Mus musculus: one gene and its partner. The protein of the gene in region 2 interacts with the protein of the main gene of each other region in a pairwise test. Links are inferred from orthologs where the notes say so. Each region holds a gene or a part of one and is shown on either strand. Other genes may lie near its edges.

Region 1 (4,778 bases), on a different chromosome or scaffold from region 2:
TCTATACCATGTGACCTGACCTGACCTAGTCTACATGACTCCTGGCACGGTGGCAGGCTTAGTTAAGAGAGTAAAGTTGCAATTCAGGTATGTCTTGGCCCAGGAATCAGGGGAAGCTGGGTTTGCTCACATCTGTAAGGAGTGAAAGAGAGAACTTTGTGAAAGCTACAAGGTCAGAGCGGCTCTCTATAACCAACCTTGTGAAAGGATACTGAAGAGGTGTGGCCTGACTTCTGAACCACACTTGAATTAAATAAATTATCCCAATATCTACTTACAAACATTGACAGGTTAGTGGGTGTATGGAACTATGAAAGCACACAGTAGGGATCTCTGTAAGAGAAATTTCTCGATTGACTAATATGAAGATTTACCAAGAGGCACGACCTCATGTCTAACACAGAATCCACTTTCTTAATCACAACTCTATTGTACCCAGCACACTAGGGACAGACATTGTCACATGTTCTCTGCCTACAGAACAAGGCCCAAAGAATCCTCCCCTATGGGGAGGATGTCAATAATTTATCCAAATGGGGGTCCCATTGACTTGCCTGATGATAGTGTCCTTGGTGAAGACCAGAGGTAGGATGTGGAGAAGCAGCAGAAAGCTTTACAAACAAATCAACCAGGTAGCCTCGTCACTGGTTTACCTGGGAAACAACAGCCTGGGTTAGCTGGACCTGAAACACTATGTAGACCCTATGAGTCCCACAGTAATGAGAATAAAAGCAACTGATGAGAATAAGTCCTTGTCGTACTCTCAGTGCACTCCACTTATTTAACTCCATGCCAGTTCTGGGAGCTATTTAAAAGGGACATCTTAGTGTCCCTACTTCCCAGATAGGGAAATTGAGGCTTGAGGTATGTGTGTATGTGGGGGGCCGGGGGGGGGGTCTGTGACCAAAGTCATAGAGTGAATTACTGACAGAGACTGAGATGGAACCTTGATATCTTTATTCTCATCGCAAACACTTCATACGGCACCAAATGAAATACCTTATTGCAGATCAAGAGGATGGATATAACAGCCAAACTCTAGAATGAGTTATCAGTGTATCGGGTACCTCTCTTTCAGTGAAACGAATCAGGCCAGGAAACTGGCTGATGGACCCTTTTCCTACTTGCTTTTGCTAGTTTAAGATTTTATACGCTCTTTTCTTTTTCAAAAGCCCGATTAAGTCTCAGTACAAGTGTAAAAATGACATGTGTGCTCATTTTACAGATGAGACGGGTCAGGTCGGAGTCCTCCAAGAAGAGTTACAAGACAGACCTCAATCATGCAACCTCTAATCTTCTGGAGCTAAACTCTTGATTCTTACCTTCCTAAGGACTGTCTCCCCTTGCAGTAGACGCTTCGTTTGGTTGCTGGGGAACCAAACACCGCCACTTGGTTGCTAAGGGGAAGTCAAGCGATAAATATCCTGGGTGAAAGTTGATTCGTCACGTGGCCATATTTCTAACACCAACCAGACTTGAAGAAAACAAACGTTTCTCCAATCAGCACAGTCAACGAGCTTCAACTTCTAGTTACGCTTTCTTTCTGCCCGCCTATGTAAACGATTGACACACCTTTTATCCAATAATAGTAAAGATTCTCTAGACTGACCAACGTGCTAATGAATCAAGAAGAACGGCCACTCGTTTGGAGGCGGGTCCGGGGGTTGTGCCGCTAGGCTGACGGAGACCCTAGTGACTTAGCTTGCTTCGTGCCCAATCGGACGCCGCGGGGTGGGTGGGACTTCACTGAGAGTGGAGTGTCGTCCAATCGGAAGTGGGCTGGTTAGACGCTGCCCAATAGAGATGCACCCAGAGGGCGAGGTCAGGCCGGGCGCTCAGCGTTCCGGAGGGTGGGGCGGGGGCAAGTGTCAGTCAGGGCAGAACGCGGCGCGGGCAGCGGAGACCCGTGGCACACAGGAGTCCGGGCTGGAACGAGGCCCGCCGAGATGGAGTTCCTGCTGGGGAATCCGTTCAGCACCCCTGTAGGGCAGTGTCTTGGTAAGGCCGCGCGTGGGGCAGGCGTCGAGTGAGCCACAGCGGCTGACCGGGCTGGTGAGATCCGCGGGCCTCCTCCCGGCACTGAAATCACCTCACGTGCGGGTTGGGCCTCTGCCAATAAGTGGTGTCATCTCAAAGGTGGACTGGGCATCCTTGTCACGAGGCCTCTGCCTGACGCTGGTGCCACCTCACCCTACAAGGAGGCTCCCCCGAGGTGCCGATTGGACTTAGAGAGGTCCCCGGCATCCCTGCCCATCAGGGCCCAGCCTTTCAAGTCTCTCCCCAGAAGTAGTGTCCATGCTAGTCTGCTTACCCTTGCGTATTGGGAGATGTCACTGCGAGTACTCTTCCCCAGGTATCTCGCTGCCTTTGCTCCCAGGGCCTCTGTCTCCCGGAGCCTTTGTGGAATGGAACTCTTTCTTCCGTCCTTGTCCCTGCTCATTGGTACCAATGGCTCTGAGGCTGGGCACTTTCCCAGAAAATGCCCCATGCTGCACGACTTCTAATTTGAGCTGCAACTCAGTCAGGCTGTAGGAGGGACTGGGATGGGGGAGGCCCTCGGGGAAAGTGACTGGCTTGGCAGGGGGATGGCGTGGCGGCAGAATCTCCTAGGCCTCCTAGGAAAGAAGGGAGGCAGGGCTGCTTTGTTGATAAGCAGTCCATTGGATCCCGGAAACTTGGACTCCAGTAGTGACTTTGCCAGGGACGCTCCTCCTGACCTTGTGCGCTTTATATTTTGACGTTCTCTTGTCTGCCACACGGGGTATTTGGAGATAAGATGTGGTGGGACTCTTCAAGTTCTAAAGTTCTGAATCTTCCTTGTTGATATTAAGCGTCTCCTTACATTGCCTCTTGCTCTCCCACTACATAAAGTGGTAGTAGAGTAATCAGAGCAGCTGTCAGTAGTGTAAGGAGTTAGAGGCGGGCCGCATGCTGCATAAGGAATGGCACTGGCCGCTGTGAAGTTTCCTTACAGAAGAAAACACTGGCAGACCAGGGAATAGTCCAGTGGTAGAGCATTAACTTAGCACACACAAAATCCTGGATTTGATCTAGGATCCAGCACTGCAAGTAATGAATAATAAAGCAATTTGGCCTTTCATCCAAGGTGGGAGCTTATGCCAACAGATCAGTCAAAAGTGCTGACTAGCTTTAAAAACAAACAAACTTGGGGCTGGAGAACTGGCTCACCGGTTAAAGACATTGGCTGTTAATCCAGATTCAGGCCCTGGCACTGCATAGTGGCTCACAACTGGCTGTAACTTCACATCCAGGGGATTGATTGCCCTCTTCTGGTGTCTTTTATATACATACCTAAACATACCATGTAAATGGTGCACAGACAGGCAAACAAAACGCCCACATATGTAACATTTTTGAAAATTAAAGTTGGGTCTGCCGGCTGGTTGAAATCATCTTTTATGAACTGGGCTCTGTACTATCCTTATGGGTCTTATAGTTCAAGCAGTAGAGACTTGCTTGTTTCTACTTTGTATATGAATTTATAGCCTACTTTTCTGTTGTTAAGCTTACAAACTTACGGAGGCTTTTTCTGTTGTTGATTGACATTTGGGAGCATTCTGTTCCTTTTGGGTTTTTTGTTTGTTTGGTTTTGGTTTTTGGCTTTTGGCTTTTTGTTTTTGTTTTTTGAGACAGGGTTTCTCGGTGTAGCCCTGGCTGTCCTGGAACTCACTTTGTAGACCAGGCTGGCCTCAAACTCAGAAATTCGCTTGCCTCTGCCTCTCACGTGCTGGGATTAAAGGTGTGTGCCACCACACCCTGCCATTCTGTTCTTTTTTGATAAAGTGTCTTTTATAAGTGATCATGGATTCTGGGACCTGAAAGTCTTTTCCCACTTCTATGACGCTTCTTTCTCTGATGTTCACTCAAGTATCTCTTTTTCTCTGTATGTATATGTGTGTGTATGTAAATACTGCAATTTTATGTGTTTACATATAAACACATATATGTGCATGTATATATATAAATATTTCAATTTTATGTGTTTGTTTTGCCTTCATGTATGTCTATACACCACTTGATTCCTTGTGCTCACAGAGGCCAGAAGAGGGTGTCAGAACCTGGAACTGGAATTACAGACAGCTGTGAGCTGCCATGTGGGTGCTGAGAGTCAGACCTGGATCCTTTGGGAGAGCACCAGTGCTCTCTACCACTGAGTTATCTCTCCAGCCTCCCCTCTTATATTGAAAAGATTTTATTTTATTTATGTATGTGTGTGCATGCGTCGGTGTGAGTGTGAATAGGGTGCCCGTGGAGGAAGAAGAGGGCATCAGATTCCATGGTGCAGAGTTACAGGCATTTGTGATCCAGCTGATATGGGTGCTGGGATCCAAACCCCAGTTCTCACGATTGGGCAGCAAGTGCTGTTCAGCACCGAGTCCTCTCTGCAGCCCCGACTGTGTCTCCCACCCACTCTCCTTTCTGTCTTCCTCTTCTCTCCAAGTGCCCTTTCAGCGCAGTCTAAATTCACTTCTCCACCCAATGTTGAGCTCAAGCCAGGGAACTAGAGGGGTGGAGTGGGGGGTAGGGGAGGGAAGCTGAGGCATATGAAGGGCAGAATGTAGAGAGAAGTAAGGGATGTAGGGCCATTTGAATGGATGGAAATAAGTAAACATGTTAGATGTGACCTGCATCAAATGACCTTGATTATGGAACCTCAGAAGGTTGTGTAGGCATTCCAAGCCTGAGAGTGACTGTCTGCTGAGCAAAAGGAGGGAAGGGCGGGGAGAGACCTGTGTCTTACTGAGTGCTTACTTTGA
Region 2 (4,148 bases):
GGATCTGCCTAAGATACTGTTGGTCCATGTCAGGCATTGTACTCCGTGAGGACGCTTTCCCTGATGGCCCCTTTGTAGCAGTGAGCTGCTCATTCCTGCACAACAGCTCTGCCGACCGCACTTCCCATTCAACCTCAGCTCCGTGCTGAGGCCTAGGATGCGCACACTCAGTGCAGTGTCAGAGGAGAGGTCTTGTCTTACTGCTCACAGGTGTTGCCAGGTATGGCTAGGTTCCAGGGGCATGAGTCCAGGAGTGACTGGCAGCATGTTCAAGAGCAGGTTACTGACACGATTAGGTGAACTTGAAGGCTGTTTTTTCACACACTGGGAAATATCTGTAAGAAAAGCAGTTTACAGATGCACTGGCCTTTGTCTCTGCTGGTGAATGCCACATTTTTCTAAATTTGGTGTTGTTTCAGGCAAAATTGGCAAAGAATTATGGCATGACTCGTATGGACCCTTACTGCCGTCTGCGTCTGGGCTATGCTGTTTATGAAACTCCCACAGCACACAATGGGGCCAAGAACCCTCGCTGGAACAAAGTCATTCAGTGCACAGTGCCCCCAGGTGTGGACTCGTTCTACCTTGAGATCTTCGATGAGGTGAGAGATGCCCCAGTGTTACAGACCTGTCTAGTTTGGGATCTGACAGACATGGGTGTGCTGTAGTGTGCCTTGTGGGTTTAGTCATGAAGCTGTTCTCCTGGTGCTCAGGCCCTGTATACATACCTAGCATTTAGTGACTGGTGACAGGGTGTGACCTGCCTGGACACCTGGCATTTAGTGGCTAAATGACAAGCTACAGATTTTTTCTCTCAGTTCCTTTGACAGTGTCCATTGGGAGCCATCACCAGCAGTAGAAGCATGAGTAGAGTGTGAAAATAGATGTTCACGGGCACGTCAGATTTCAAGCAAGTCAGGCTCCACTCGTGATGGGAGCACTGTTCTTGTAGGCATGAGTTCCAGGCTCTGCCAGTAATGTCCCATGGCTGTTCCAGCAGTTAGGCATGCAGCTTTTTGAGGGCAATCAGGAAACTCAGGTGGAAGATGTCTCCTTGTAGCTTAGCTGTGGAGGTCATATGCTTGTTTCCTTGAAACAGCAAAGGGCAGTGGGAAAAAAATGGAGGCATGAGAGCCAAAGAGGACATTGGCATGGGAGGCCCAGTGAGGGGACACAGTTTCTCCTTTGTCTTGACCCTCTGCCTCTTGCTCTACTTTCTTCTTGTTTGTTTGTTTAGTTGGTTGGTTTTGTCCCTTTCTCCTCCTTCTGTGTCTGAGAATAGTAAGGATATGAGAAGGAGGTTTGGGGCTGTGGGTGGTGGCTTGGAGCTCTTGTCCTCATCTGTACCTACTGGGCTTGATACTTGCTTCTTATATCTAGTGGATTAGGAGTAAGGGCCCAAGGACTGGGGAAGATAGTGTCCATCCCTGAACAAGGATGACAGCCCAGAGATTCTTTATTGTCCTTTGGCCTGGCCTCATGGTTGTTACTCAGAAGATGCAGAAATGGTGGTGGCCAGGTCTAGGTGATCTATGGAGGTCTGGCGTTATGGTTTAATGGGAAGCTCCTTGACGGAAGATGGAGCAGTGAGGAGGAACCTCTCCTGCCAAGAAGATAGAAGGTAGATGCAGGCACCAGTCCAGGTGGAGTCACAGCCATAGGAAAAGCTCGTCTCTATAACATGGGTTGTTGTGGGCCATGATGAGGTCATTTTACTCTTGTCTTCCTCAGCGCGCCTTCTCCATGGATGACCGCATAGCTTGGACCCACATCACCATCCCCGAGTCCCTGAAGCAGGGCCAAGTGGAGGACGAGTGGTATAGCCTGAGTGGGAGGCAGGGCGATGACAAGGAGGGCATGATTAACCTGGTCATGTCCTACACGGTGAGTTCACTGTCCGGAGAGGCCATCCTCAAAGAGGTTATGGCACCTCCTTGAGGCAGCTATGGCTCCCAGAATCCCAGAACCTTGGGAAGTCATGGGAGGCAGGGCTGGGCATCTGAGCTCCCAGTGTCTCCTTTGTATTATCTAGGCCTTTCATTTTAGTTGTTGCAGAGTCTTTGAGAACAGGGGAGTATAAAGCACTCTGATGCAGGCCTCCTCAGCTTGACCATCCTACATGCCTCTCCTGGTGTTGAGTGTTACCTGTCTTTAACAGGTGCTTTATGTAGCATAGGTCCATTTTACACTATCGCATCTACAGTTCAAGATTATTAGAGCTGGTCCAGGAGAGGTGGCTTAACAGGTAAGAGCACTGCTGCTCTTGTGGAAATTTCCAGGTTTGATTCCCAGCCTCTACATGGTGGCTCACAACCAACTGTAACTCCAGTTCCAGGGGATTCAGTACCTTCACTGGCATCAGGCACACACATAATGCACATATATACATGCACACAGAACACTAAGACATATTAAACAAACAAACAAACCAATTCAGTATTTCTGAGAGAAGCTTCTGATACTTATGCAGTCTCCAGAACAAACCGTGAAGGGGGCTGTGTGAGAAGCGGTGGTGGTTGCAGCTCATGTGAGGCCAGTAGTTGATATCATTTGTTTTCTTTAATCTTCACCCTGACTTTTGTTCTCACTGAAACTGAATCTCATTCCTCTAGATTGGCTGGCTAATGAACTTGAGGGATCTTCTTGTCTATGACTCCCTATCCCTTGGATTATAGATATGAGCTACCAAACATGGCTTTATGCATAGATGCTGGGGATTGAACTCAGGTCCTCATGCTTGTGCACCACTTTCCTAACTGAGCTAGGAGTCTGCAGCCCAAGTTGTCTAGCTGAAGGGAGGCAGTCTGCGGGAGTGTTGGTACAGATGAAACCAGAGGCCAGGAATACTACATTCTTGCTGAGGACTCCATGTCTTGGGTGTTAATGTCTGGGCTGAGGCTAGGACCACTCCTCTGATACCAGAAGTAACAAGATTGACATATGGTGTGGTCCTCCTTGACTGACATGTTTTTCTTTGTTGTGTTTCAGTCCCTCCCAGCTGCCATGATGATGCCTCCTCAGCCTGTGGTCCTGATGCCAACTGTGTACCAGCAGGGTGTTGGCTATGTGCCCATTGCAGGTGTGTACTGCTTCTTTGGTAGGCAGTCCTGGGACAAAGTAGGACAGGAGGAGGGAAGGGCCTGTGAAGCTTGAGTAGTGTAGAATTGTGTAAGCATGGCTGCTTTAAATGAGGATCCTTCTAAAACTTATTCCAGTGTCATATCTGAATTATTTATGCATACATAGGCAATAGTGTTTGCCCTAATTATTGCCACAAGTAAGGTGAGTTGAAATTTTTGGAGTTGTAGAAACATTGTCATTTTTATGAATGAGTTACTGGAATAAGACAACCTGGTTCCTGTTAGACAACACTCACCCTGAGCACCTACATCTTAAAAGAAAATCATGGCTTTCATTGAAAGTATTTACCCATATAAATTAATAGCTGCTTGGGTCATAAAGTCAAGATGTGGCTTTTATGTATTTTTTTAAATTTCTAATCTTCCTGTGGCTTTCACAGTGCCTGGTATCCAACTCGTCCTCCTACCAGAATAGGGCAAGCCAGATGAGCAGATGAGATCACACAGCTCCTTTCTTGGCTTCAGCCAACAGGAAAAACTGTGGCTCTGAGAGTAGACATCAGGGCAGGCCTGTAGTCTCCCTAGTCTCTTGCTAGGGTCCAGGGAACTGTAGTCCAAGCAGACCATGCTAGTTCTGCTATCCCAATGGGAATGGCCAGTCTATAGGGCAGGAGGGAATATGAGATCCTGGATGGGACTTGGCCTGCATGGTCCCTGCTAGCAGGTGCTCAGGGTGAGTGTTGCCTTGTATCTAAGACAGCACAAAGCTGCTATGGCTCAGTGGTGTGGGGTCTGAGGGTCCCACACAGCCAGAATGGAGTGACTCATTAGCCTTTATTAGACTCAGCCTCTATGCCAGCTGAGCTAGGGAACATGGTGCAGGACTTGGGAATGAAATCCACCCACACATATCCTGAAAACAGGCCTGACAGACAGAACTTGGGCCTTCTACCTATGACAAATCATCCTGCAGGAACAAAGGGCAGCACTTTGCAAAGGGAAGGGAGGGTAAGTTCACAGGCTTCTAGGCCCCTGTAGTATTTGGAATGGAGTAGGTTTGCAGTAGAG

What was found.
Region 1: the proteins of Tollip (region 2) and Tom1l2 interact in binary tests that used the Homo sapiens proteins (3 or more experiments, as listed by UniProt). The link is inferred for Mus musculus from reciprocal best matches to the Homo sapiens genes TOLLIP and TOM1L2.

What each region holds. Positions count from the first base shown.
Region 1 is NC_000077.6:60,349,977-60,354,754, reverse strand, and holds the start of Tom1l2 (TOM1-like protein 2), read left to right. Parts: upstream 1-1,849; 5' UTR 1,850-1,946; coding exon 1,947-1,998; intron 1,999-4,778. UniProt on the Homo sapiens protein: Acts as a MYO6/Myosin VI adapter protein that targets myosin VI to endocytic structures. May also play a role in recruiting clathrin to endosomes. May regulate growth factor-induced mitogenic signaling.
Region 2 is NC_000073.6:141,888,438-141,892,585, reverse strand, and holds part of Tollip (toll-interacting protein), read left to right. Parts: intron 1-419; coding exon 420-602; intron 603-1,731; coding exon 1,732-1,884; intron 1,885-2,988; coding exon 2,989-3,079; intron 3,080-4,148. UniProt on the Homo sapiens protein: Component of the signaling pathway of IL-1 and Toll-like receptors. Inhibits cell activation by microbial products. Recruits IRAK1 to the IL-1 receptor complex. Inhibits IRAK1 phosphorylation and kinase activity.